4 linked regions of the Lonchura striata genome follow. The protein of the gene in region 3 purifies or fractionates together with the protein of the main gene of each other region. This does not show direct contact. Links are inferred from orthologs where the notes say so. Each region holds a gene or a part of one and is shown on either strand. Other genes may lie near its edges. The genes, in order: RFC1, RFWD3, RPA3 and SMARCAL1.

Region 1 (6,825 bases), on a different chromosome or scaffold from region 3:
GTTATCCTGCTCCTCAGAGGAAAAGTTTACCTTGATGACATAACACAGTGAACAGAGAATTGCTTGGGAGAAAAACATGTCTCAGGGCCAACAACAAAGTTACCTTTCAGTGAAGGTTTTATCCGGGAATCATTAAACAGATTTTTCATGCTTTTTATAAAGGCATGCCAGACAAATTATTAATTCATTGCATAACTAATTGCAGAAATCAAGCCACATAAGTATCTATCATAGCAACTTAGATTCCAGACAGGACCACTTTTCACCATCCTGGGCTTATCTATTTAACATACTCTGACTGACCTTCCTATTGGTATGCCATCCATACATATATAGTACCAGCAGCTGGAAAATCTGCATGTTTAGCTTTTACCTATCCTTGTTCCAATGAGGAAAGGCTGCAGCTGTCAAGTTTCCTTCCAGGACATACCCCCAAAACTCACAGCAATGTGCCCTGTGTATCCTGGAGATATTAACCAGCATGGCTGTTCCCTTGCCCAAAAGGCTAAAATTAAAATAGGCAATTTTTGGTGTTTTGGCTCCCCAGGGCTGCTTCAGCACAGCACCAGCAAGGAATAACTTTGAGCAGCTCCATCTGGTAGGAGCTGTAACTAAGAATTCTGATCACTCTCAGTCAGGTGATTGATGCCTAGCATCTGAAAAGCCTAAAAAGCTGCTCAGCTATCTCAGAGTTGTATGGCTCTGCCATCTAGTCCTTGCCTGCTCTGACTACTGCTTAAATCTTCCATCTCACACTGTAACAGAAGACCACAGTAATTAATCATGCCAGGCTGCAAGTTCTCTCTTGGAAGATTTGTATGTCTTTATTTTTTTACCGGGGAGAGTAACACAAACAGAAACTGAAACCAATTTGTTAGGTAGTACAAAGACTGGGAAACTCCAGGAGTGTTTTTACAAGACTAGTGTTTAGTAAGGCAGAATATTTTCCAAAGTTACATCACATAATCCAGTCTGCACCTCAAAATACAAGATAGAAAACTGAACTTCACCAACCTAACTCAATGACTGTAGTAGAAAGTAATGCATCGTACTTCAGGTATTCTGTGTGTCTCAATGAGGGCCTTGCACCACAACAGTCATATTTCTTTCTACTCTGCCTATTTCAGTGCAAGTTTTGCTCCCATATCAGCTCTGACATTCAGCACCTCCAGAACAATTGCACTAACTAAAATCAGATTTATACTATCACTTCAGTGAAACCAGTAATACCTGCTTGGGTAACTACACCTAATGAACAGTTACTGACAGTGGTAACTGCAGCAGTTTTACAAACAGTATCACAGTTGTAAGTGATGCTCCTCCTCCAGCCATGAGTGTCACTCTCTGAAGGGGAAACTCAAGAAACCCCCACTCTTGGGCATTCACTCCCTCGGGTGTACCACTTTAGCTCGCTGTTTGGGAACTGGGACATGGCCACTAATCTGGGTGAAAAAATAAATCCCTTCTAATGCAAATCAGTTTGTTGTGTAACTCTTCACACATCAGCTCAGCACAATGAGAATATGCTGCAGAATCAAGCTAACAGGGCTACTTACACTTGGCACTACAGGAGAAAAGTTTGCAAGGGTGTGACATTGACTGCAATAAGCTCATGGCTGTCACTGCACAAGCAGAACAGTCTGCACCATTAGTAACTCACTGTGTTTCTGCCTCTATTGCCGCCACAGCTGCAGCAGAGATGGTTGAGTAACCACTTCAGCACTGAAAAGGGAATGGGATGAGGCAACTTTTACCCTCCCCAAAATGATGGCTGTTTTCGTCCCTTCTAAGACAGGCCCAGACACTGAGATGTGTGACGTTCAGAAGATCACACAGAGGAAGAATTTGTCCTGGGAAGGTGGGAAAGGAGGAAGCAAGCCTTCCAAGAAGGTCACTTTTCTATAAAGGTGTTAGCAGAGGCATGGGAGAGGCAGATCTCTTACATAAATTTGAAGTCATCAGCCAGCTCAAAACAAATGAAAATATCACAGTTCAATAGTGTCAGGAGTCTTAGTGCTGGCAGACTTCTGTCAGTACACTAGAAGACTCAGACTGTATCACCCACCATTGCAGAGCACCAGGCATAAACTATAAACAAGCTTAAACTCTTTGGATAGTCCAAAACTAGAGTTGCGCCTTAACTGGCAAAATGACACCTGTAGTTAGGCCAGTAAAAGATGTGCACAGAATAAAAGCAAACTCATTTGGCCAGAAATGAAAAGGGGATACCATCCTATGGTCACTGCATACATGAGCGGAACTTTGGAAAGCATAGGAACACGTTTATGTTTATGCTTAAAATCTCTTTACATCCTATTGAGGGTTGCGTCGTTATCGATAAACTTTTAAGCTCTTTTTTTCCTCCCATCGAATTGTTTTTCGGCAAATACTGCGCACCCTCCAGCTCGTCATCAGAAACGCCTCGTGCATGTTCCCGCTGGGTTAAAGGAAGAAGTACCGCTCCGGCACAGCGCCTTCACCTCACCGCAGGTTCGCTCATCCGCATTCCTTCCCGGGACGAGCCGCGGCCCGCGCCCTACACCCCACCCGCTTTCGGGGAAAGCGAAACCGGGAGGGCTCAGCCACATCCCCCTCCGGGCACGGGCATTTCCCCGGCCGCGGGCCCGTGCTCCTGGCACGCGTGGGAAGCCCCGGCCGCAGCGGGCGGGGCGCGGCGGCCGCTCCGCCGCAGCCGCTCGGGCTGCGCGGGGGCTGCGCGCCCGGGGCCGCCCGCGGGGCTCGCTCAGCCCGCGCCGGGCCCCGACGGCGCCGCAGCCGCGCCCGGCCGGCGGGACCTGCGCGCCGCCCCCGCCCCGCACAGCCCCGGCCCGGCGGAGCCCCTCACCATGGCGGCGGCGGCGGCGCGCTCCCCGTGCCTAGCGGGACGCCGCCGGCTCCATGCTCCCGCCTTCGCGCCAACTCCCGCCGCCCGGCGCGCCGCGCTGCCGTCACGGCCGCGCCGGGCGGGGCTGCGGGCCGGCCGGGGCGTGCCCCGGGCCGGGCTCATGGCAGCGGCGCCCGCCCGGGAGCCGGCCCGCTCGGGTGCGGCCGCTCCGTGAGGGGTTTAACCGCTGCCGCGGGGCTCCGGCCCGTGCCGGCGGGAACGGCAGCGCTGCAGCAGCAGAGCGGGAGAGCCGCGAGCGCTCGGGCGCGTCCGGCAGAGCGGGCGAGCCGACAGCCGAGCTGCTGGGTGAAAGCAGACGGGGAAGCAGTGCCAGGCCGCCATGGCTCCCGTCTGTGTTGGGCACTGAGGCACACGCAGCTCCCAAAGCAGGCGGGCAGCCAGCCCCGGGTCCGCGCGGCTGGAAGGCATTTCCTGCTCGTAAACTGGTGATAAACGTGTGATAGTTCCCAGCTTCCTGCCCATCCGAGCGTCTGGTTCCTCTAATGGTACTTTCTCCCATGCGCCAAGGCTGGGGAGAGCTCAGGAGTCCGACAGAAACCAGGGAATTAATTAGCGTTGTGATTCTGCTACTGACTGCTTAATTTTCTAAGTTATTTCTAATGAAATAGTGTGTATTTTCTTCCACTAAGCACACTGAACGCTGGAAGGGGATAAATTTTTTCAAGCCAAATAAAAACTACTCCACTCTAAAATATTGTATATTGTTTAGATTCTGTCAACCTACTGAATCGCTAATTATTGTTGGACTTGGAGAAGAATGGGAAGACAAACTGAATTTGTGACGTTACAAATACTGCCGGTGATTTGGGAGACCCTTCATCGAAGAAAAAAATAAATCAACCAGAGTACAAGCTCAATGGGTAGTTGTATTTGTATGTATATAATTGCAGTATAAGTACTGCAATCCCTAATGCTGTCGCTTGTGTTCTCTCTGTGTTCACTGCCTGCTTGGTGGCATGGTCTCATTCCACACACTGTTAATGATACCTATTACCGTTCCTGTTAAATTCTTGAAATTGGACTTTAAGTAACTGTAAGGTCCTGTTTATACAGAAACTGCTACCTTTATTTTATGAACACACATGGCTAGGTGGGCCCGTGTATTTTCAGCAATAGTATATCTTGTGAATTTGGGTTTCTGCATAAGGAACACAGTGAGCAAGTAAACAGACCCACAGCACAGGCTGTGCTTTTTGGCCTGTTTTGCAAGTTACTCCATATGCACTCAACATAATGGCTACGCAAACAAAATCGATATTGCTTTAGAAAAACATCTCCAGTGATAAATTTGTATTTACATATTTAATTCTTGTTATGTAACTTTGAAAGCTGTGCTGTTCCTCATACTAGAAGTAAAGATCAGTTTAAATGGCTGATATTTGTAAGAGCCAAACAGTTCAAATACTGCTAGAGGAGATATTGCGGGTGGTTATCTCTCTTTGTAGTTGATAAAGCTACCTAGAGTAACAGCCAGCAGAGGAGTATCTGTTTGTGGGTTCATGATGTCTTCATGTTTCTCGGAAGGCAAGAGTTCAACCCTGTGTGGAGACATCAGACTGAACAGCTGGAATGCCTACAATTCACTCCTGGCTATGGTGGGGAGACACAGGATACCTCAGTTCCTATGTACATGCCTGTGGAACCAGTGGAAGTGGGAAAAACTTTGCTCCACCACAGGAAAGAAAACTGAATACTCATTATTATGTATTATGATGTGCTTTGCAAGGTAAAATCAAGGCAAAATCCCATGAGTCTATAATTGATCATGGGTAGTGTTTTTTAAAAGGCCTATTACCCAACTAAAATTACAACTTTTTAAAAAGTAGCTAAAGTACAATTGATTTCTCCACTCCATTGGCAAGTGTGACAAATAATTTTTGCATTATTAGTATTGTTTTCTACCTTGCTGAAACCCACAGACTATTTGTTTGTTTTATATTGTTGGTTTTTTCCAAAATACGTTTTAAAAAGTGAGATATTAAATCTTGAACTTGAGATTTTTCCCCTATATAAGCCCAGACCTACTGTTAATATTATTAGTGAAATCGTTGTCTTGCTTATTGAGAGAGGAGGTTTTTAATAAGAAAATTACATTTTCTTGTACTGAGAAATAAAAAATTGTCTGTTTTCTTTTTGTTAATATCTTGTTTATTCTATTTCCACATTTTTGTATATTGATACATTAATACTTTTTTGAATTGAAACCAATTTTTAAAGTGAAATTTCATGTTAAATTCTGGGTTTTTGTAGTAATAATGGACGTTAAAATACTAATTTACTAGATTGTCATTTCTATTCTGGAGGAATCCCATAAGGAATATTTTCTTACTAGACTCTCTAGTAAAGAAAATAATTTTTTTCAGGCATTGTAGAAGCAGAAATTAGCATTTTGTTACAGATGGAAAATTCCAAAAATTCTTCATAAAGCTGTGATGTAGTTTCTATTTACATTGGGCTTTCGATAGTATTCATCACAATTATGTGTCTTTAGAAAGACTTGATCCCATCTCAAACAGTTTTAGCTGTGTAAGGTAAAGATAAGGGATTTGCATGACGCTGTTGTGGGCGATTACATAAGTTGTGCTTCTTTGAGCACCTAAAACTAGTAGGTCTGAGCAGCTGATGTTAATGTAAACATTACACTTCTTCTGAGTGAACTTTGTCTTTAGGTCTTTTTCTTCATTTACATATCAGCGTCAACTGATACTCAGTCTAACATTCAAAACTCTGTCCTTTCAACTAAGGTGTTCATCATTTCTGTAGATCAAACCCCAAGTTTTCAAGGCAAGCCCCAAAACATGGAGACTACATATTCAAGAGCCAAGTGAAAAATTGTTTTCTTAATTTGAATCATATGCCTTGGCAAAGGCAAAGAAGAAAAGGAAATCTGATAAGTAAGAATTGAACTGAATAATCATTAGGCTTCCTAACTCCTGAATCTGTATCAGCAAGTGCCCTGCAGATTGCAGCTTCTCCCAATCTTGATTCATTCTGAAACCAAGTTGATTAGGTGTGTGGACAGAGGCAGGAAATCCCACTGTGCAGCATCATATTGTATGTCCTCATACAGCACCAGGGTTGGAGCCTGGCCTGACTCTGCCACTTGAGCCAGTGGAATCATTAATTCTCTTCTCCTCCTTTCACACCCTCACTTCCTAACACCCCCTGATCACATCTCACTCTTCCATGCTGATTGCTTTCCAAATTAAGAACAGTCAAATTAACATTTGCTTTAATAGTCAAATTAAATTTGCTTTTCCAGATTAACAGTATTTCTTTTCCCCAAGTCTTTGCTCAGGTAATGAACTCCTTCCAAATTCAAGTCATTATACGATTTTCGTCACTTAAGCTGCTTCCTCTTTAAAACTTCATGAAGTTATATTACAGCCCAAACAGTTAAATATGACCAAGCAGTAAGAAACTGGATTCACAGAGGCTTGAGGCATTAAAACACTTTCAAACCATGATTACAGCATGCTCCCAATCATGTCAGTAATAAGGAAAGAAATACAGTTCATAACCTTATACAGACCAAGCACCTGAGAGCACCAGTCTCTGCTGCACCTTACACATCTCAGGCAGGTGCAACACGCTCTGCATCCTTGTGCCAGTGGTACTAACGCTGCTGCGTTTAGTGGGGAGAAGCCTGTTGTCTTTCCCTTGCCCACAGATTGCCCATGGGGTTACAGAGCTGTTGTGGGTACTTGGAGCTCAAGCATCTGGTAACGATGGCAATGACTAGCTGCTTTAGAAGTGTAAGACATCGGTAACGACTTGTATTTGGGTTTTCTTTTGTGAAGTAGGATACATAAAATCAGAGCTTTTAAATGTCAAAATAGAAAGATTATGTTAATGCAATAACTATCAAACAGCATTTTAAATGCTGTTCCGTAGAAAAAGAAAGAAACATGTCAGTATGT
Region 2 (6,952 bases), on a different chromosome or scaffold from region 3:
GATAGTTTCTGCAGCAACTGTCACCAGCAAATGTAATCAGGCAGACCCCAAACCAAAGGTGAAATGAAAACCAGAGCACAAGCTCCACTGAGCTAAAAGTTGGCTGGAACTGTTGAGAATCAGCAGGAATCATAGACAGGAATCTGGCTGTGCGGAGGGAACAGCAGTAGCAGAAGCTCTGCAAGCAAAATTCAAAATGTAGAAGGGCTCAGAAGTCAACATCACCCCTGCCAACATATGGAACAAGGGGTTCACTTAACAAGGGCAAAGAACATGCCAGAAGAGACCAGAAGTCGCTGTGCTATTACTGAACTTAAAAGCTAAGTGAGGTACTCTGGATTTGGCCCTAGCCACACACCTGAGCTGGGCTCTGAAAGCCAGGAAGCAAGGACATTTTGAACTGATGCTGGACTTGATCAGGGGGCAGTTCAGACCCAATTTTGTTTCTGCTTTACCTGGCACTGATTGTCCTCTGGGAACCACCAATTCTCTGCTGCCTGCGAGCTCTCCTCACTGGCGGGTGCTGTGTGAGCTGTGGCACGGGCAGTGGTTGGTACTGATCCAACGTCCCTTGTAGCCTCTGCTGCCCACTGGGGGCCGTGGCAGGACCCGTCTGCAGGTCAGGCTCTGCAGGTGCTTCCCCTGCACCTGCACTGGCTGTGACAACAGCATCCTCAGCAGGAAGGGCTGCAGCGCTGCCTCCTCCTTCCCCGAGCACAGGAACGTGGGACGAGAGCGCTGTGTGAGCAGAGGGCTCCGGGGGGAGTGTCTGGAGGGTCTCCACTGAGTAACCAGCCACTGGTTGGAGATCAACTTCCATCTCTTCTTGAGCCATTTCTGCAAGGAGTTGAAGAAAACAACTATTTACTTTTAAGTGTACTCTACTTGTAGCCTGATGGTAGCAAGAACCAGGTACAGCACTCAGTGACTAAAAACGTTTGTAGAATTCAGTCAAGAGAAAATTTGTCCTTTGCAGCAGAGCTAAACCACAAGTCAATAGACACATGTGAGTTGGGAGCACCCTCCCAGAGTCCTGGGCTCCAAGTCTTTGGCTTGACAGCAGTCAGCACATTGCAAAATCAACTTAAATAAGCACTTGGATGAGAATGTAGAGTTAATGTTTTCTTGCTGCCATCATTTACTTGCCAAGTAAATTCATGTGGATCTTGAGGAACAGTTGGAAATATCTAAGAGACTCTCCTGGCTGAGCAGCACTGCACAAGCACCCACAGATTCAGCCAGGAACAAGCTCTGTGACACAGTCCTTTGCTGCACTGGTCTCGACCGACATTCAAGTTTTTTCAAACAAAATTGCCTTACTGTAACAGATCACTGTGACCCTTACCCACAGTGCACTGAACAGCCCTGCAGGTATTTACTAACACCAGAAAAAACCAGAAAGGGCATGACAGCAGAACATGCGACTGAGACATTACTGGTACCAAGTTATCTGCAGCATCAGCATTTGTGGATCCATAGTTAGCCCAAGACTGGATAAACATGAAATTTTCAGTAAAACTGCATATATATTAAGGATGGCTGCCCTTCTACATCTTTGGCATATGGATATCAGGTTACCTCCAAAACAGGAGTACTACCTTAGGGTTTGAAGAAAAATAGAGACAACAGTTTGTGCATTATTAATTCTCATGCTGCTGTCAGCCACCAAATTAAGAGCACTTTGGTCACACTGTTCTTACAGCACAAAAAAGTTCAAGATTGTCTCAGTAACTGAATGAACAGATTCACCAAAAACTCAAAAGTCCTTTATTGGAAGAGGTGTGTGGATTAAATTCTGAGAGCAGCTGGAAATCATTCACATTCTCCAAAAAGTACTTAGCAATAATAAACTTGAAAAGCCTTGGGAATTGCAGATCTTTAGCACTATTTAGAAGTCCAAAGTATAAACACCAGTTCTACCAAGCTGGTAAAACTTAACACAGCTAAGGTTGCATAAAGAGAGCAAATGCTAGTTGTGTATAAAAAGTAGCTAGAAAATGTATACAAAAATTAATAAAAGAGGTTGTACTAAGGTTCAAGTATTTTTACAGATATTTTAAAAAATTCTAACTTATCAATTTCATAATTCTTATCCTGATCACCAATTCAGCCTAAGCCAGACCAAAAATAGACATTACCATTTCCCACCAGAACAGCTGCATGGCCAGATGAAGTACTCCAGCTCTAGTACTACGTTCATGTTCATGATAGAATTGCTACCCAAAACTGTAATAAACCCTTTATTTTCACCGCATAGAATCATGTTAAGGGTTAAAGATACAGTCCCAAACGCCCCTGCCAAGGGCAGGGACACCTCCCAGCAGGCCTTATCCAGCCTGGCCTGGAGCACTTCCAGGGTTGGGACATCCACAACCTCACCGGGCAACACGTTCCATTACCTACATTAACTGTGAGATTTATAAAAGCGTTCATAATACCATTTTCACGATTAAATCTTGGAATCTGGCCCGAGGAATTATCAAGTCAGGCCTCCCTTCAGCCAGCCCGGGAAGAGCCCGCAGATGGAGGGTTTGCACAAACCTTCCCGGGCCCAAGAGAGGAACTCCGGGCGCTCCCAGAGGGCCGGGCCGGCCGGCAGCCCCCGGGCTGGGGCAGCAGCTTCCCCTTGCGAGGGCACCCGCAGGGCTCTGCCGCACCTGCCTCACCATGAAATCACCAAGACAAAACTGCCCCGGCGCGGCCCAAGCGAAACACGCGCTCCGCAAGCGCGGATGCTCTGCCGCCTTTGTCACAGAGCTCGCGTGTTTTAAAGGCGAACCCGCCATAACAAGGGCACGGGACAGGGATTTCGCCCATCCGGCAGCCGCAGGCAGTGCGAGCGCCCGGAGGAAACCCGCTGTGCTGGAGAGCTCGGCCGGGCCCCGGGGATGGAGCAGCGCCGGGACCGAACCCGGGACCCTGCCCAAGCCCGAGCCCGAGCCCCCGCCCGGCCCCGCCGCCGCGCGCTCACCTCCACCGGGCCCAACCGCCCGCTCGAGCGCCGCGCCGCCCCGCCCCCGCAGCCCTATTGGCTGGCTGCTACACCCCGCGCCGCCTGCCATTGGGCGAGGCAGAGCGTTTACGCCTTCTCATTGGCTAATCGCTCTGTCCGTCGGTTAACGCAACTGAGAGTAACGGGACGAGAGGCAGGGAGGTAGAGCGTGCTCTGATTGGTCAAAGCGCCGCAGTGAAGACCGGCTGATTGGGCAACGAGGCCTCTGACGGATAAGGGGCGGGGCAAGAGCAGGGGAGCGGGTTGTCATTGGCCGAGCGCCGCGTGGCGAAAAGAGCGGGAAGACAAGTGCGTTCAAACCGGGGGAAGTGGGCGGGGCGCTGCCATGGCGGCGGCGGGGCCCGCAGGGAGGCCGGGAGCAGCTGGGGAGGACAGGGGAAAACCAGGGAGATCCGCGAGGTGAGCCGAGCGGAACCGGGAAGGCTCTGGGGGGAACCGGGGGGACCCCACGGGGAGCCGGAGGTGGCCCCAGGGCAGCCGGGGCAGGGCCGGGGCGGAGGAGAATCCCGGGATGGCTCCGGTTGGAAGGCACCACGGTCAGTCATGTGCTCCCACCTCCCTCTCAAGCAGGATTGTCCTAGAGCACGTTTCACAGGATTGCATCCACATATCTCTGGAATATCACCAGTGGATATCGTGTGAGGGAAACTTCACACCTTCTCTGGGCAATGTTCCAGCGTATGATCACCCACACAGAAAAAAGTTCTTTGTCATATTCAACTAGAACTTCCTATGTGTCATTTTCTGCCCTTGGCTCTTGTCCTATTGCTGGGTGCCACCCAGCAGAGCCTGGTCCATCCTCTGAAGTCTCTCTTCAAACAGAGGCGCTGATGGATCCCCTCTCAGTCAGTCTCTTCTCGAGGCTGAACAGGCTCAACTCCCTCAGTTTTTCCTCTAAAAGAAGCCATGTTCCATCCCTCTGGTCCCCCTAGGCTTCTTGGCAGCCTCTCTTCAGGTCACCTCTCTCCCCAGGCAGGGCCCCTTGGCGAGAAGGTGTCACACAGAGAAACAAGCACGGGAGCATTGAACCATCAGTCTCTGTGAGGGAAGAGGCGAGGGGCACCCCGGGGCTTGCTGCCTCTGGCCACCCAGCCCCGCTTTCCACAGTTAACTTCCTTGGTTTCTGCTTTTCTCCAGGTCAGCCAGCGAGTCCACAATCTCTGCAAAACACAAGGATGGCATTAACGAACACAGAGGATTTCTGGTAGGCTTGTTTGGATTTTTTTTTAACAGATGAGAAGATGGCTTTCCCTCACTGATGACAACTGGGACACAGAGTCACACTCCTTGGGCCAGCACAAACAGGCAGGAATTAGCAGGGGACAGGCCTGAGCAGACAGCACAGCCCAAACAGAAGTAGCTGTGTTTATGGAAACACCCTTGTGAACAGCTGCAATAAACCATCCTTCCAGCTCAGCACCACACAGTGGTAGGTGTTGGATTATGATCACATTAGGGTAATAAAGCCATTCTGTTTCCTCAATGTGACTTTGTCAACATCTCTAATGATATTTTGGCGGGTTTTTTTCAGCCAGGGCTAGTCCCTGTGCCAGGGCCATACTGGTGGGAAATGTGACATTCAGTGGTTTCTTGGGCACATTTCCCACATCTCTTGTATGGATCTGGTCCTGTAGGATGGAGTGGATGAAATTGAAGGAAGTTTTCTCCCCTTAGACAGATGAGCCAAGGGAAGTATGTGACCTCTGTTACTTCAAACACACCAGAAATATTCCTCTATAATTTCCCGATGTTGCTGTTGTATCTCCTGATGGAGACCAGTTACTCATCTGATCAGACACAAACCAGCTTCAGAGGCAGTGAAAACTTCCCTGTCATAGAGCAATGCCCAAGACTGGGATTTACTGCTTAAAGCTCAAGGCAGGAGATGTTCCTGCAGAGTGTTGTGGCTGCTCCTCCAACTTATGGGATCTGCAGGACCTGAATAGGGATAACTCACAGATCCCTACTTCCTACCCCTACTTGTCTGATAGAAAAAGCTACTTTTATATGACACCAAATGCACAAACAGCCTGGGGATTATTGTCATGGCATGGGTAAATAAATGTTAATGTGTGAGGTCCAGAACTGGGGGACTTGTTAGCATACAAAGAAAGGTCAAGGCAGGATCCCAAAACACAAAGCCAGGCAAATTCATAGGGGAAATAAGGGACAAACTGCCTGCTGAAGTAGCTGATGGAAGGATGCAAAGGGCCTGTGGAGGAGGTGTCTGGGACACTTACCCTCGGCAGAAGGGCGTTGGGAAGGCTCAAAGGCCTGGCACTGTTCAATGATTTTCCTCAGGTCTTCAGGACAATCTTCCCCAAGAGGGTCCCAGTAATGGTGACTGCAGATTTTCTCCACGATCTCCTCAGGAGTGCAGCCTAGAGAACAAGTGCAAACAGGAGTGTCAGGACGGAGCTCTGCTACCACAGGAGGGTGCTGGGGAGGAACCCAGTGCAAAGCCATGCCAAGAGCCTGCCTGCAGCCTTTGGCAGGGAGAAGCCAGCAGGGAAGTGACCCAAACTCTGTCTGCAATGAACCCCACTGTATTTGGCATGACACTGCTGGGCTTCAGTAGAGCAAGATGTGTTCACGCTTAAATGCCCAGAAACATCCAATAGAAACAAAAATTATTTGCATGTTTGTGGTTTAAGCAGGTTGCTTTACTACAAGCAATACTTCACTATATTGTAGTTTCAGGAGAAGTTATGAAGCTGTCAGGCACTGCCACTGGCACCTGCATGGGATGCTCAAGGAAGGAGCAGGGAGCATCCAGTGCCAGACAGGAACCACACTGTGTCATGTGGCTTTTATGTAGGGAACCAGATACTTCTGTCTCACCTTCAAATGGGATTTTGGAGGTTGCAATCTCTGCCAGAACGATCCCAAAGCTGGAAGGAGACAAGCAAGATTGTTAGTATTAATTCCACCGTGTATTCCTCCCTTTTACTGGAGAGAACTGTTAGGCTGTGCCAACTGGAAGCGTCTGCTTGTGTGTCAAATTAAACCTGGCCTCCTTCCATAGCTCAGTAGCTACTCTGCCAGACACCTGCCTGCTCACAGGCATCTCCTGGGAGGGCAGACACACCTGTATATTTCACAGGGCCTCTTGTAAGGGTAGTTGATGTCTTTCAGGTTCTCTGGAGCAATGTAGGCCAACATAGAGACTTGTTTACAGTCCTTCTTGGCTTTCCTCTTGATGGATGATTCTGTTTCACACAGCTCAAATCCTGACAGCTGATTGAGAGAATGAGAGAGAGAAAAGGAGGAGTGGAAACCTGTGGTGCAGCTAGGGACTGCCCCAAGATGGAGAAAACAGAGCGAGATGCCCTGAGCAGTAAAGGCTGGTGTGCAGCTGTGTGTGCTGCCCAGCACGAATCTCTTCCTGCAAGCAAAACCAGAGGTGAAGGCAGGTGAATCACCCCAGCTTCAGCTCATTCCAGGCTGGATGCCTTAGGAACCCTCACTTGGTTGACGATAAGACCAAGATAGGGAGGTTTAAGTGCCTAAAGTCATAGGAGAGATGCCACTACCCAATTTTATCTGGACCATCACAGTTCCCTTCAGTGTTGGTGCAGGGAGACATCCACAAAACCATTCAAAACTCCCAAAAGCATCTCCAAGTGTGGTGCTTACCTTCACACAGTAATCCCCAGCCACCAGGAACTTGCTGCTGCAGATGCAGCCGTGGAGTCGGGATTTCTCCCCTGTCTGGTGCAACCTGCAGATGGATGGAACCAAGGGCAACACGTGATGATGATGGTGATGATGATGATGATGATGATGGACTGACCCATGCCCACCTCTGTGCTCCCTCCTGCCATGGAGGCAGTGACTGACATGCAACCAGAGAAGCCAGCAGCTCTCTGTCTGTCTTGGTGGATCAACCCTGCCAAGCCAACCTTTCCAGCAGGTGCTGGAAGAGCTGCTGTGGGCAAA
Region 3 (7,364 bases):
TCCTCATCCAGCTAGAAAACACACCAAAGATGAAATTAGTAACACTAAATAGCTGCTGTCTTTACTGCACAGCGAGGAACTCTCCACAACTGATGGTTTCTTCATGACAGATTCTGTTCCACATCAAACAATACAGTACTACTGGACAGCCCAGTCACCCTCCCCCCAAAAAACCCACAAAAACCTTGATCCACTTAGGGATTTACAGATTTTGTAATAGCCAATTCAATACCAACAACAACAAAAAAAAAAAAAAAAGCAAAGATGCATCCAAGATCCAAGGAATGATACTGGTTCATAAGTATATAAAACTGTGTCATATAATCACTGAACAGAGACTAATCTAGGACACAGAGAGAGAACAATTCTGATTTTAATGCACTTCATTCAGACCTGTCAATTATAAACCCTGGAAGAGTTAAGGAGGTATCACACATTCCAGAGAGCAGTTCCAGTGTTCCACATGCAGAAGGTATATCTGGAAATAATTTCTTAAGTATGTGTTCAGAATACAAAGATACTGTCACTAACAAGTCTTTGGTTGAACAAAGGAAAAAAAGGCTAAAAATTATATCTTATGCCAAATTAATACAGCTTGAATGTCTTCTTTGTTTTTAAGATAAAATTTTAACAATGGAGTACTGTTTTGGTAATGCTCTTCCAATATCTAAGGCTTATTTTTTACTTTCTAGTAAGTCTTCTGGAAAAATTCCCTTCCTATAATTTTGGGGTCCTCTGTTGAAAGAGGGAACTAGACACGCACAAAGAATGAAATACATTGAAAGGGAAAAAAGTTTGATTAGCAAATCTATTCCCCACCGACATTGGGTGAACTGGAGAGATGAACCTGGCCTCGGTTTTTTGCACACACCAGTTTCTCCCAAGGCAGTGGAACACAGACTGAAGTGCCCAGCACTACAGCTTTGCATTTATGGAATTCAACCACTTACACTGTTAGAGAAAATATTATAGAATCCTTGGTCAGATGCTAACATCTGAATTTTTAACAACCCAAGGCAGGAAATGTTTTCACGAACTCAAGAAAAAGGTAAGAGACATTTTGTTGCAGTTTGATGTCAGCAATCTTCACATTTATAAGACAAAACTCTGCCAGATTAAACTGCAGTTTTCATCAACAAGGACAGACTCTTGTCTTAAAACACTGAGAGAGTACCATATACAATTATTGCCCATGGAAATGGCAATGTTTCTCAGCATTTAACAACTCATTCAGAGAAAAAGATGTAAGTATACACATGCATTGAGTCAAGCTAGAGCATTTGCCATCACAATTAAAATAATTCTTTAATTACAACATTTCTTGGTGGACAAAACATACTTAGAAGAGATTGCCGAAATATTCTTACTTCAGTGGTAGGTGATAACAAAAGAGGCAGTATTTTTGTTCAGTAGTTCTAATTATATCTTATACCTGTTGCATTCATTGCTTGGGATTTTTTTTAAGAAAGAATGCTTCAAGCTAACTATAGAGTGTACTGAAATGCTATGACAAGTGTTCTAAGTGGATGCAACAATGTTAACTCAAAAAACTCTTGAAAACACTATGTTCTTTTTTATTATAGAAGCAATAAGAAAATAGAAAGACTGAAATTGAAAGAAAGCTAATAAACTTAGTGGAATATATTAGTGAACAACTAGTAGAGTAAGACAAAATAGATAGGGATGTGTCTGATAAGTTGTCACTTAACACCAGCTAAAAATTGATCAAGACCAAGACAGTTCATGGGTAAGAAGACTACAAGTTAGCTATAAGATGCAAAAAAGAGAGACAATAAAATACAGGTGGAATAACTCAAAACCTCATATGCAGGTTTCAGAGGAGACAAAACCTCCGGATTCCACAAGAGGCGGCATCAAGTATTTCCAAAGCATTCCTTAACTTACAGGCTCGCTCAGCTCCACAGTCGTATGCTTTCCGAGCCCATCCGCAAGCACGACAAGCTTCCCGCTAGGATGAATCTACAAAAGAACATCTAAGTCTAGAAAAGGCCTGTGCGCTCCAAAGGCTCCCGGAAGCGGCACAGCTTTGGCCGCCTCAGCCAGTTCTTCCCGCAAGCCCCGCGCGCCTCCCGCCCTGCTCCCAGGCCGCCCGGAGCTGCCGCAGGGACGGCGCCAGGCTCCGAGCGCAGGGCTCCGAGCGCAGGGCTCCGCACGCAGGGCTCCGAGCGCAGGGCTCCGAGCGCAGGGCTCCGAGCGCGGGGCTCCGAGCGCAGGGCTCCGAGCGCAGGGCTCCGCACGCACGGCTCCGAGCTCAGGGCTCCGCACGCACGGCTCCGAGCTCAGGGCTCCGCACGCACGGCTCCGAGCGCAGGGCTCCGAGCGCAGGGCTCCGAGCGCACGGCTCCGAGCGCAGGGCTCCGAGCTCAGGGCTCCGAGCGCAGGGCTCCGCACGCACGGCTCCGAGCGCAGGGCTCCGAGCTCAGGGCTCCGAGCTCAGGGCTCCGAGCTCAGGGCTCCGAGCTCAGGGCTCCGAGCGCAGGGCTCCGAGCTCAGGGCTCCGAGCGCAGGGCTCCGCACGCACGGCTCCGAGCGCAGGGCTCCGCACGCACGGCTCCGAGCCCACGGCTCCGAGCGCAGGGCTCCGAGCGCAGGGCTCCGCACGCACGGCTCCGAGCGCAGGGCTCCGAGCGCACGGCTCCGAGCCCACGGCTCCGAGCGCAGGGCTCCGCACGCACGGCTCCGAGCGCAGGGCTCCGAGCGCAGGGCTCCGCACGCACGGCTCCGAGCGCAGGGCTCCGAGCGCAGGGCTCCGAGCACAGCGCTCCGCGGCAGCCGCGTCCCGCCCGCAGAGCCGCCCAGCGCCCCGCGGACCTTCTCGACGCGGCCCACGAAGCAGACGGGCTGCCCGATGTGCTGCGCCAGCTGCCCCGTGGCGATGCGCGGCCGCGGCGCCTCGTGGACGTCACCCATGGCTGGAGCCGCTTCCCGCCTTCCGCCGAGGGAGGGACGGCGGCCCCGCGGGCGCGGCGGCCGGGGCGGGACTTCCCCTGCGCCCGAGGCGACCCGGAAGCGGAGGCGGAGGCCGGTGAGAGCGGCGGCGGAGGGTGGGTGATGGAGCGGCGGCTGGCGGTGCTGCTGCGGCGGGGAGGGCGGCGGGGCCGAGCCCCGGGGAGGCCGGGGGAGCTGGCCGTCAGCTTCCAGCCCTGTCCTGTCATTTAATCCTTTGAAATCGCCCCGTATTTCCCCTTCCCGGCGTTTTCCCTCCCTCAGATCCTGGTTCCGCTCCGGTGTATTTTGGCAGCGCGCCCTGGCAGCCAGGAGGGCAAGAGTCGTCCTGGGGTGCATCAAGCGCAGTGCAAATAGAGGTGATTATCCCGCTGTAGTCAGCAATGGTGTGGACTCACCTGGAATATTGTGTGGTTTTGGGCTCTGCAGCTACGTCCAGAGAAGGGAATCAAAGCTGGTGAAGGCAATGTCCGTGAGAAAGGGCTAAGGACTTCGGGTTTGCTCGGTTTGGAGAAAAGGAGGCTGAGGGTTGTCCTCATCACTCTGCGGTCTCCTGAGGAGGGGAAGCAGAGACAGGATGCTGATCTCTTCTGCCTGGTATCCAGTGGATATCCCAGGGTACATGGCAGTGATTCAAAGCTGCACCAGAAGAGGTTTATGTTAAACATTAGGAAGCATTTCTTAGAGGGTAGGCTGGAGCAGGCTTTCTAGAAAGGTAGTCCACGTCCCAAGCTTGTCAGCGTTTAAGAGGCATTTGGACAATGCCCTTAATAACTTGCTTTAGCTTCTCATCCTCCCTGAAGTGGCCAGGCGTTGGACCAGATGATCATTGTAGATTCTTTCCAAGTGAGCTATTCTATTAATTTCATTTTATTGCATCACTGAAATTGAGCTGGTGATCAATCCCCGAAGTTGAGAAAAACTGACGGATGTAAGGCAGATATAGCATCTGGACGTGGCACTGGCATGCATCTTCTCTTTTTCCATGTGTTTTCCCAATTGATCCCTGGTGTGGAGAGGTTCCTCCCGATTGCTCTTGTGGCAAAGGTGACTCCCAATCTGCATTTGAAATGGTGTTGCCAGCAGGTGGAGTGAGCTGCTGATTTCCTCTGCTATGCACTGGTGGGGCACCTGGAGTGCTGGGTGTGACGGCAGGAGTGGACATACTGGTGAGAGGCCAAAGAAGGGTCACAACAATGATTAAGGGACTGGACTATCTTATATATGAGGAAAGACTGAGAGAGAAGCAACTGTTTAGCCTAGAGAGGAGAAGGCTCAGAGGGCTCTTATTAATGAATATAAATACCTGAAGGAAGGGTGCAAGGAGGACAGTCAGGCTCTATTCAGTCATGCCCAGTACTGAAACACAGGAGGTTTCTCAGGGAACATCAGGGAACACTTGTCACCACGAGAATGACCAAGCACTGGTACAGGTTTCCCAGAGAGGTTGTGGGGTTTCCATCCTTGGAGGTAGTCAAAAGCCACCTGGATATAGTCCTGAACAGCCAGGTCTAAGATGGTTCTCCTTAAGTAGGGGGTTGGACAAGGTGGCCTCTGAAGGTCCCTTTCAATTGCAGCCATTCTGTGGCTGTGATTTCCTTTTCTTTTCCAGGACTGGTGTTTCAGGAAATACCTGAGAAAATCTAACTCTGATCTGGCTTCAAAGGGCAATCACAAAACCGCCTGTGTGCCGACTGTCTCTTCTAACCAGCCTCGGGCCAGTCCAGCTTGCTAACCAGCACCAAGTGATTTCTGTTAGTTGGCTGGGGTAGTGTTATATGGCAGTAGCTTGTGTCAGCTTGCCAAGGAAACAAGCTACTGCCAGAAGCTGTGCAGAGCCAGCATGTGACCAGGGAGTGCTCTGGACTTAAATCTTATATGAGATTGAGCTGCTTGCCATCCCCTCAGAGTCACCGTGACATTCACCTGTTCAGTATTTCATTTGCAAGAGAATATCCTCATCTCCATAACGTATCTTCAGAGATTTGAAAGGAGAGGTCTCATTACTGTAGCTGTTGGAGTGAGGTGCAGCAGGCTGCTGCACAGTGGCCCTTCTAGGGCTGAGGAGTTTGAAGGGTCAACGTCTATAAAAACATATTGTACAAGTTCTTACAAATGTGTGTCTTTACCACAGTAGCTGTTGAAACTTTGCAATCAGAAGAAAATTATTTGAAGGGGAAACAGTAGGCTTCAGCCTGTCCCTAGCTTTCTCTTTTTGCATTTCCTGTCTTCAGGGTTTTGAATGTTTACATCAGTTTAAGTGCTCTTATTTCATTCCTGGCTTTGTTTTTCTCACCTTTGGTTTTATTGTCTCACTTGGTTGTGGCTGATTTTTTTATGCTTCAGCCTCTTCAAGTGTTTTTTATATTATGGTAATTTGGGTTATATAGTTCTTGTATTTCTGCTTTCCCTAAATTTTATAAAAACATTAAAAAGAAATACTAACAGTTTATGTAATACAGAAAAAAATCTTTGTTAATGTTTCATTATACATATATCTCTTTTTTTTAAATTTGTGTTTCTTGTGATACTTTCTGTTCTTCTGTTTTCAAGAATACAAACTAAATAACCGTGACTAATGTTAATGCCAGAGAAAAGAAATCATATGGCTTTTCTTCCTTCTTCATTTAGTAACTTACACTGGGTCAAAAGCTTTTAAGCTGTTCTTTTGGTGTCATGGAGAAATATTTTCAATGCACATATTCTTGACTCTTAAATTGGTTGTTTTCATGATAAGAAGGATTGTACAGGGCTGTAAACATCTTGCTCTTTTTCTGATTGCTGCTTTATTGGTGAATCACAGCAGATGGTAGTATGGAAGTGAGAATTGCTCTGATGCTCTGTTTTCTTTTTCCATAGATTGTCTCTCTTAAGCTGCTAGATGTGAAATTATTCCGGTTCTTTCTTTAAGGTCAGTTTTGTGTTTTCTTCTGTCCTCATTTCATCATTTATGTAATTACTGGCAGTGCCACTGCAATTCTGCTTTGCTGTATTACTGGGTATTGTCTCTTCATCTTAGTCTGCATCTTTGGTGTTTTTAACATTAAATTATGATTCTCCTCTGGTATTGTAAACATTCAGAAAAGGCTGAAAAGTAATCGTAAATATACTAAGATCTTTGTTGTATAGAAAAATTTTATTGGATTTAACATATTAGTTTGGCTCAAAGGTCACCTATAGTTCTTGTTAAAGGAGACTGACAAAATGCAGGAGGAATAAATTAACCCCTTTGTGCAGCTCTGTAACTCATCTTTGTCCAGTGCCACGTATGTTCTCAGAGCCTCACAGAAAGACAAAATATTTTTTGCAGCCTCACAGAATTGCTGTTGTTCAGAGCTTATTATTTGCTAATGACTGAAGCTCTGCCAAAAGCATTATTCTTAACTATCAGCGATTGTGTTCACTTTTTTTTGTGAGAGAGAAACATGAGGAGGAAGGGAATTGCATATTCCTACCAAGGGAGATTTTTATCTTTAGGCAGTGAATTCAATTTCAGGTCTCCTATAGAAATAAAATTAATCCCATCTGGAAGGGAAAAGTGCTGTGCTATATAGGAAAAATGACTGTAGGAATGTGGTACTATCTCTGAACGGCGGGTGTATTTTCTGTGATTATGTGCTGACAGCTTTTTTTTAAAAAACTCACAACTAAGTGCTTTTTTTTCTCAAGTCTGTGTGACCATGCACCCAGATCTCCAAACTTAAATTTTAATTTTTACTCTGAAATGACACTTGTATGAAGCTGGTTGTTCTGAGATTTCATTACCTGAAACATCATCTTATCTACAAGTAGTAAAACTGCAGCCTGATTCTGCAAGTGCTTAAAATGTGTCCTTATCTTCAAGAGCACGAGTGTTTCCTTTCAGCTCTGTGTTTCTTTGTTGGGTAGGGGCTTTGTTCTGTTTTTAACATGTGATTCAAGAAATTTAGTAGTTGCATTTCCCGTTGCTGGGGAGATTTATGTTTACTTTTGAAGTAGCACAGTTGATAAGATTCTTAAAAGAGCATCACAAATGCATTGCCTGTTTACAGTCTTTCCCTTACCCATGCTGGACTGTATGTAGCTCTATTTTTTGTTTCTGTCCCCTCACTCTGTTTTTTCAGTCATTCTTTGCTTTTTAGTTTATACTTTATGGTGTGTTCAACAAAGCTACCGAAATGCTGAAAGTAGTAGTATGTGAACTCTTCATTCCACATACCTTTCAAAGACCCGAGATCTACAAGCACAACTTTTGTTTCTAACAGGCTCCTAGAGAAGGAAACACTAAATATGTTAGTCTTCTTAATATGTGGATTTTATACCACCTCCCCACATTCACAGTTACAAAATATAGCAGGTACTGTTTTCTTAGTGCTGGGCTGGTGATTTTAACAGCGTAAGGACTGGAGGCCTGAGCT
Region 4 (7,768 bases), on a different chromosome or scaffold from region 3:
TATAGAAGAGCTATTTAAAAAGAAAATACATGAATGGACCCAGAAATTAAGCATTAGCCACTGGAACACACTGAGTTTTCAAAACAAATTCAAAACAAGCACCAGCACAGCAGATAATTTTCCTATGATCTTGTTGGTTGCTGAAAAATTCAATGGTAGGGAAAGTGCCACCTGTGCTTGGTATTTAGATTACAGGAAAAATTAAATTATTTCTAATCAACTACAAAGTATCAGAAAAATGTTATGAGCTAGATGCCTAAAAGATGGGCATTATCTTTAAGTAGCACTACTTTTATTACTCAAGACACTGACAAAGCTCAACAACAACTAAGGAAAGCAGGGGAAGGAGGGGGGGGTATCAAGATTCCGCTTGTTTTTTATCATTCAACATTTACTTACAGACACTGCTGTAATCTTCCATGCTGAAATTCCATTTTTTCATAGCAGGATCTAAAGTAGGGCAAGAGTAATAGGGCAGAATATCAATCATTTGGGGCAGAAAAAAAGTGGTGACGTGAAATGTTCATGCGAGGTAAAAGTATCCAATCTACTCAGGCAAACTTTTTGCCACGCATCTGAAAAACAATTATACCCAAGTTTACAGCTACATGACACCAGAAAAATCCATGAGGATTATGACTACTAAGACAAGCCATTCACAGGGATCAGCAACACATGATGGAAAATAAAAATAGAATATAACAAATAAAGATAATGGCAAAAGATCAGAAGAAAGACAAAAGGGAGAGATTCCACTGCTCTCTGTAACCCAGGAAACAATCAGCTCATAACTCCGAACTATAGCTAAAGTGACCCATTTTCACATCCCAGTTTATGAATAACTTTGTTTCCTTCACTTCCAACAAACTGACCAGCTGCTGCCACTAAACTTCTCAGAGCATTGCTTATAAAGCAAGGCTTCAGACTTATTTTCTAAATCCAAGCTCAAGCTATTTATGTCCAGAATGTCTCTCCAATTTAATCTGTATTTACTTCTTTAATCCCCCATTAATGCCATATATTCCACCCCAGCAATAGGTGCACTGGTAAGATACTACAATAGCAGCAGATGCCAAAACTTCAACCCAATTTAAAACAGAGATAACAGAAAATAAACAATTCTTACCATAGGCTTTGCTTGGTACCTTCTTAAACACAGCAATAAGTTCAGCATTGTAGCCTATTTCAACCTGGAATCGGTCTTCCCCGTATTTCACACATTTTCCTTTTGTAACATTTGCTTTCTTGTGACTTTCAAAGGTAGAGGCCACACCAGCAGAGCTGGTCAGCTTCTGCATGCCACCACTGGCCTGAGAGACAAAACCTCCCCCTGTTCTTTCTGTCGGTCTGTTTATGTTTATCAGCATTTCTGAATTGCTCAGGGTGGCACTGCTTGGTGGTGAAACATATTTAATGGCAGATTTGTTCTGAGTTTGTAAATCTTTACTGCCATCAGGGTGCCCATTATCAGTGACTCCTGGATGAGGTGGTCCTGTGGGGCTTTTGAAAGCTGGGCAGCATTTGGGCTGCTGGAATGTTCCATGATTAATTGAAGTGTGTTGTCCATGTTCCTGACTACCAGCATCCAAGTAATGTTTATGGGAATAACTCAGAGAATTTGGGATCATAGCAGGGAACTGCTTTAGGCCACTTGTTTGTTCCGAGTCCTCTGAACAACTCTTTTGCTGCTCTCTGTGTGAGCCAGCCATCTGTTGGTTTGCTGGATAATGGTTGTAGCCTTTCTGGAGACAGCTCCTCTGCTCCACAGGCGTGTTTGGATTCTGTCGGTGCTGGCCGGTGAACCCGACATGATTGTTTTCTTCCTTCGAGCTTCCCAGATTGCCCAGACTCTGCCCTTTCTGCGGAGGCGCAGCGATGCCCACGTGCCCAGCTCCCTGGGCTGCCAGCCTCTCTGCTCTCCTAGCCAAAGCCAGCCGGCGGTTCTCCTCAATCCTTCTCTTCTGCTCCTCTGTAAGGCCCGATGACATCTTCAACAATTCCAACAACAAATCTGTACCAAAACTACATTGGGAATTAATCACAGAGGCAACTGCTTCTTTAGAGGAAGAGAGGCCAGTCTACAGGAAAAAAAAAAAAAGAACAAATTATTATTGTATTGATAACTTAGTATTGTTAGTGGCTGAGTATTACTGTAACTAATCCTACATGAATCTCGTAGCACAGCAAAGCTGTCACATCAGTGCTGAGCCATTATCAGCAAGTACATGGTGTCAGACACTGATGAGGCCTTGCATGCCAATCCTCCATGGATAAAACATACAGAAATAGAGAAAACTATTCCACTACTGTTCTGAGTACTCTTCTCTGCAATTCCCAGCAGAACTAATAAAATAGCAAAGCACGAGGACACCCTGCACTGCAGAGCCAGCCCTGAAAACGCACCTGGAGGCAAAGGATTACATCCCTGCACAGCCTATGGTGGAAGTGTCCTATTGCGGGCACCTTTTATGAAAGACGGGACCATGCCCATTTTCCCTGTTCACCTTCGGTTCCTGGGTATCTCTGAGAGCGTGGCAGACACATGCTGAACCCCACAGGGCAGAGCCAGCTCCTCCCGGGACACATCTGTTCGCAAGTGCAGTAGAAGCGGGGCGCTGGCTCCCGTGACTTCTCCCGGCAGCCCGCCCCGCTCCATGCGCTCGCTGCCCCCCGTCCTGCGGGATGCCCGCCCGCCCTCTCCGTTCCTCAGCTTCCTGCGGCCGGTGGCGTTCAAACTCTGCCCCCTCCTCTCCCAGAAACCAGGCTCCCATCCCAAACTCCACGGAGGTCCCGACCCACCCCGACCCTCGGGCCCCCGCACCGCCACCCGCCCGTCCGCCCCGGGGTCCCGGAGGTCAGGCTTTGTTCCCCGCCCGCCCCGGAGGCTCCGCCGCCCGCTCACCGCCCGCTCACCGCCGGCGGGCACAGCCCGGAGCACCGTCGAGGGACTACAGCTCCCAGCAGGCCCTGCGCCCCCGCCCGGCGGCACGGCACGGCACGGAGCGGCCGGGAGTGCACAGCACGCCGGGAGATAAGAGCGGCGCGCGGGAGGCGCGGGGCGCTGGGAAATGTAGTCTTCCGCTGGCAGCGCCATCTCGGGCCGCTGGTGTTGCGGCGTTCCGCGGAGGGAGCCGGGACCCCGGGGCCGCCCTCGCCACCCCCCGTACGGCGTGTGGGGACTCTGCTGCCGGCCCCTGGCTGAAGCCTTGCCCCAGGCAGCACCCAGCGCTGTACGGCCGGGCGGACCCCCTCGCTGGCTGCCCCGGTGTGTGGGGCTGGCAGTCCGGTGTGTGCTGTTTTGAATGGTGACTGAGCGGGGAGCCGGCAGTGGAGCTGGTGTGCGAGAACGGGTGGCGGCACTTGTCAGCAGTGAGGATGGAGTGTGCCCCCGGGGTTAGGAGCAGCAGCTGGCATTGCAAGGCTGCTTTGTCATTTTTGAATATCGATGGTGATGGCAGGTTGGAAAAGACCTCTGAGATCATCGAGTCCCACCTACACCCAAACACCACCATGTCAACCACACCGTGGCACTGAGTGCCACCTCCAGGCTTTTCTTAAACACCTCCAGGGACGGTGACTCCACCACCGCCCTGGGCAGCCTGTTCCAATGTCTGATCACCCTTTCTGTGAAGAAATTCTTCCTAATATCCAACCTATCCTGGTGCAGCTTGGGGCTGTGTCATCCTGTCCTTGGCTGCCTGCACCAGCTGCAATCTCCTTTCAGGTGGTTTCAGAGACTGATAAGGTCTCCCCTGAGCCTCCTTTTCTCCAGGCTAAACCCCCCCAGCTCCCTCACCTGCTCCTCACAGTACTTGTGCTCCAGAGCCCTCACAGCTCTTGTCTGGACTCACTCCAGCACCTCAGTGTCCTTCCTGAGTTCAGTGGCTCAGAAATGGTCACAGCACTCAAGATGTGTCACCAGTGCTGAGTACAGGGGGACAATCACTGCCCTGGTCCCGCTGGCCACACTATTCCTGAAACAGGCCAGGTGCCATTGACCTCCTTGGCCATTCGGGCACACACTGGCTCATGTTCAGCTGCTGTCAACCAGCACCCCCGGGTCCTTTTCCACTGGGCAGCTTTTCAGCCACTCTGCCCCCATCCTGTAGCACTGCCTGGGGTTATTGTGGGTGAAGTGCCAGGCCTGACACTTGGTCATGTTGAATGTCATACCCCAGTCTCAGCCCATTTATCCAACATGCCCAGCTTTCTCTGCAGAGTGACAGTCCAACCAAACTTGGTGTAGTCCACAAATTTGCTAATGGTGAACTTGATCCTCTCATCCAGATTGCCAGTTAACAGGACCAGGCCCAACACTGATCCCTGGAGACACTACTAGTGACCAGGCAGATGAGGGGATGTGCCTGGAGGCTGGAAGAGGAGAGATGTCAGGGCTTTCTCCAAGCAGAACACCAGAAACAACAGGTCCATTAGAATTACTCCAGGCCCTTGGAAAGTCTTCCAAGAAACAATCACAAAGCAAATGAAGTAGGTGATTGGGAAAGCCAGCACAGATTTATTAGAGGGAAATCACAGAAGATTAATCTGATAACTTTCTACAGCTAAATGACATTTTCTGTCTACATGGGAAGAGTAGTGGAGGTTGTTAACCTGGACTTCAGCACAATATTTGACCATATTTCCCATGGCCTCCTCCTGGATGAGTTGACCAGATAGGCTGAAGCGGGGGGATCTGTGAAATGGGTAGGGAATTGGCTTCCAGGCCACAGCAGAAGGCAGCAATCAATGGTTTTTATGCAGACTGGCACTAGCAGCCTGTCACAAGTGCAGTCCCTCAGGGAGTAACACTGTGTCCTATGCCGCTCAAGAAATTACACTGGAAGAGGTGTCATCTTGAAATGAGAAAGGAATTTTTTTGCATTGAGAACAATCAATAATTGAAACAACTTCCCCAGGGACATAGTGGGACCCCCATCGTGGAAGGTTTTTAAGATCCAATTGGACAGAATGATAGAAAACCTCATCTTGGCTCCCTTTCCCACAAAGGGTTAGATCAGATGGTCTTTTGAGGTGCTTTCCAGCTTGGGCTGGTTTATGATTTTGTGCACATCTTCAAAATAGGGTGATTACTCATAGTTGCATCAGTTAAAATAAAAGGGCCTCCCAGGGTTTTAATTGTACATAGGGCTTGATCATACATGTCAAGATGCCTTTCCTGAACTGTCATGTTCCTCATGTGGGTGACCAGAGCAGTAGCTGGGGAGAAAGCAGAGAAAAGGCCCTGGGGAACACCATAATCCCCTCCCATCTCAGAACTTCACTACCCTGCCCAGTGGCAGCCCCAGAGCTGCCATCCTTGTCCCCAGACACCATTTTCTCTCACCTGACAGGCCCTTTGGCTCGGGACACTAAAGCCAGCTGGCTGTTTTACAGTTTATTCATTCTTCTCTTCTAGTTAATTAGAAAAGGTTATCATTAAATTGCTTCCTGATTAAGCAGCAGCGACTGCCATTAGTCAGGAGCTTGTCAGCCTGAGAAAAACAAGGCAGGCAGGAAGAGTGAGGTGCAACTCAGCACACACCACAACCCTGAGAGTGCTGTTCCTCACCTGGGAATCACATGCAGGCATGAGCACACCACATGCATGCAGGCACTTCCAAACACACCACTTTTAAAGAAAGCTAAAGGCTAAGGAGACATCTGGGTCCAGGGTTTTGTCCCAGCTTCTCTCAAGCAAAAAAATCAAACCTTTTTGCACGTTTCAGGTCCTCTTGCTGCAGAGCATGTTTGCATAGCCCCATGGGCCCTGTCCAGATCTTCTGCCATTGCCCTTTCTTCCCCTGCAAGCCAGCAGACGCCAGGTGGCTACACAGCAGAGAGAGAAAGGAGTGGATGAGAGACCTTTTTTCTCTCTTTCTTGGCACACTTTTAACTGCCCAGAGCTAAACCAGATCCCAGTGTCACATATGGATGAGAGAGGGAACATGCCGAGCATAACCCCGCAACTGTTTCCAGGCACCTTCTCCCTGCCAGCAGCTACCCAGTTCCAGGTCTCTAGAGATGGCTCCTTATGCTTTGAGAGATCTTGTACCAGCAACTTGGGAAGAGTGAGAAAAGCCCCATCCAAGGACTGTCCCCAGCTCATGCAAATATTGAGAGCAGAGCATGGTTTGCAGAGAGCTCTGGGCTTGCACGGTCAGGCAGACACAGACAGACGTTGAAGCATTTGCTCCATATGGCACAAGTTCAGCGAGACACAAGGAACAGCCCGGCCATGCAGAGAACAGACCTACAAAATGAGAGGCCACTTGCAAGCAGTTTGCTGGTGCACTCCAGGTGTCCTTTCAGTCAGAACATGCTTCCAGCAGTGGCTTGGACTCACCCTCCACATACTGGGTCAGGAGCAGAGATGCAGAGTGAAAATCCTGGGAGGGATAGTGCACCCCAGCTCTGCTGCAGAGAAAATGGTTCACATCCTTCCAAAGAAATGCTCCCACCAGTGAAAAAAGTTAATGAGATTCTCACTGTTGTTCTTAGGAGGAACTTTGTCTCATTTGGATCATGCTCTAAACCTCCTTTCAGGGGCTGGGCTGGCTGACTGCTGGCTTCAAATGAGACAGAACTGCCTGTATTGTGCATCTTATATGAGCAGCAGCTAATATCTGAACTATGAGTCTCCCCAGACTCTGGAGCCATTCTGGAATCTCATGGATTATCCTTTGAGTGGTCTTAGGCTGCTCTTTAGAGGTCTTACTACTGTCATATTGAAAATATTTGCCCCGTTTTACCACTTTGCCAATACACCTTGGTAGTTCTCCACATGAACAGAGCTCACTTCCTCTTCGATGTGTGGCCAGCCTGCATGCTCTGCTGGGGCTGAATTGCATGCAGGGCTGCTGTGTGTAGCAATGTTATCCAACAGAGAACTGGAAATCAGCCCAGGATAAGGATCCTGAGATGCCCAGGCTTCTGGGAGGGTTTTGGTAGTCCTTACTGAGCTCAGAGACACCAGTCTTTGACTAGCTGCAGAGAACTTGTAGTTGCACCTTCTAAAATAAATTAATCCCATGTTATCAGTTCATACATAGCTAAGACCAGTCAAGTGGTTGGACTGGGGACGTACAGGTCACCTTTTAAGAGAAGGTTGTGGTGCAGGAAAGTCAGAGAAAGGCCTCTGGAGTGTCAGAGCTTGTTCCAGATGGAGAAACCTTTATTTTGGGGTGCTAGGGTCTGACCTGAATGCTCTTTACAAGACCTGTCCTCTGTAGGCTGAAGGGTTATGTTTCCTCTGCCCTGCTTTGGGATTCTCAAGGAGGTAAAAGCCGACAAATAGGGAATTTAAGCCCTGGGCTTGGAAGGCCAGGGTGTGCTTGGGTTTGGAGAAGTGCTGACCCTGAATCTCTTACAATTCCCTGGATTTCTTTTCTTAGACAGCTGTAAATCCCCTCAACTTTCCCTCTTCCATTGAGAACCATGGCCTCCTGGCCCATTTGTCAGCCTTAGGCCCTTTCCCTGAGCATCTTTGTAGGACCAAAGACAAAATTTGGACAAAATTTGCTGAATTCTGCTATCCTTGAAACTCTGATGAAAGTGCACCTGCAGAGGCTTTTCAGTGAGTTTTTCTAGCATGAGAAAGTTGCTCCACTACTCTGACTGCCAGCTCAGTGAAGACCACTTCTTTTTCCATGCTTTTTGGCCAGCCAGTGCAAGAAAAATTAGTCACTCTCCATTCTTTTGAAGCAGCCTCTTTTATCTACACAGCTTGTTCTTCCCTGGCATGCTGAAGCCTTCCTGCTCTTGTTTATAG

Evidence for each region.
Region 1: the proteins of RPA3 (region 3) and RFC1 purify together in Homo sapiens (affinity purification with mass spectrometry; 3 studies listed by BioGRID and IntAct, with this or other methods). This does not show direct contact. The link is inferred for Lonchura striata from reciprocal best matches to the Homo sapiens genes RPA3 and RFC1.
Region 2: the proteins of RPA3 (region 3) and RFWD3 purify together in Homo sapiens (affinity purification with mass spectrometry; 5 studies listed by BioGRID and IntAct, with this or other methods). This does not show direct contact. The link is inferred for Lonchura striata from reciprocal best matches to the Homo sapiens genes RPA3 and RFWD3.
Region 4: the proteins of RPA3 (region 3) and SMARCAL1 purify together in Homo sapiens (affinity purification with mass spectrometry; 3 studies listed by BioGRID and IntAct, with this or other methods). This does not show direct contact. The link is inferred for Lonchura striata from reciprocal best matches to the Homo sapiens genes RPA3 and SMARCAL1.

The regions. Positions count from the first base shown.
Region 1 is NC_134606.1:22,850,574-22,857,398, forward strand, and holds the start of RFC1 (replication factor C subunit 1), read right to left. Parts: upstream 3,008-6,825; coding exon 2,846-3,007; intron 2,531-2,845; exon of another isoform or gene 2,431-2,530; coding exon of another isoform or gene 2,398-2,430; intron 1-2,397. UniProt on the Homo sapiens protein: Subunit of the replication factor C (RFC) complex which acts during elongation of primed DNA templates by DNA polymerases delta and epsilon, and is necessary for ATP-dependent loading of proliferating cell nuclear antigen (PCNA) onto primed DNA.
Region 2 is NC_134615.1:15,889,167-15,896,118, reverse strand, and holds the start of RFWD3 (E3 ubiquitin-protein ligase RFWD3), read right to left. Parts: upstream 3,014-6,952; 5' UTR 2,972-3,013; intron 838-2,971; 5' UTR 836-837; coding exon 456-835; intron 1-455. Other genes in the region: MLKL (mixed lineage kinase domain-like protein), read right to left, coding at 4,121-4,173, 5,254-5,394, 5,855-5,904, 6,102-6,250, 6,650-6,734. UniProt on the Homo sapiens protein: E3 ubiquitin-protein ligase required for the repair of DNA interstrand cross-links (ICL) in response to DNA damage. Plays a key role in RPA-mediated DNA damage signaling and repair.
Region 3 is NC_134603.1:131,398,571-131,405,934, reverse strand, and holds the start of RPA3 (replication protein A 14 kDa subunit), read right to left. Parts: upstream 3,004-7,364; 5' UTR 2,932-3,003; coding exon 2,833-2,931; intron 1,981-2,832; coding exon 1,906-1,980; intron 12-1,905; coding exon 1-11. UniProt on the Homo sapiens protein: As part of the heterotrimeric replication protein A complex (RPA/RP-A), binds and stabilizes single-stranded DNA intermediates that form during DNA replication or upon DNA stress.
Region 4 is NC_134610.1:14,692,056-14,699,823, reverse strand, and holds the start of SMARCAL1 (SWI/SNF-related matrix-associated actin-dependent regulator of chromatin subfamily A-like protein 1), read right to left. Parts: upstream 3,017-7,768; 5' UTR 2,914-3,016; intron 2,575-2,913; exon of another isoform or gene 2,505-2,574; intron 2,079-2,504; 5' UTR 1,989-2,078; coding exon 1,127-1,988; intron 451-1,126; coding exon 400-450; intron 1-399. UniProt on the Homo sapiens protein: ATP-dependent annealing helicase that binds selectively to fork DNA relative to ssDNA or dsDNA and catalyzes the rewinding of the stably unwound DNA. Rewinds single-stranded DNA bubbles that are stably bound by replication protein A (RPA).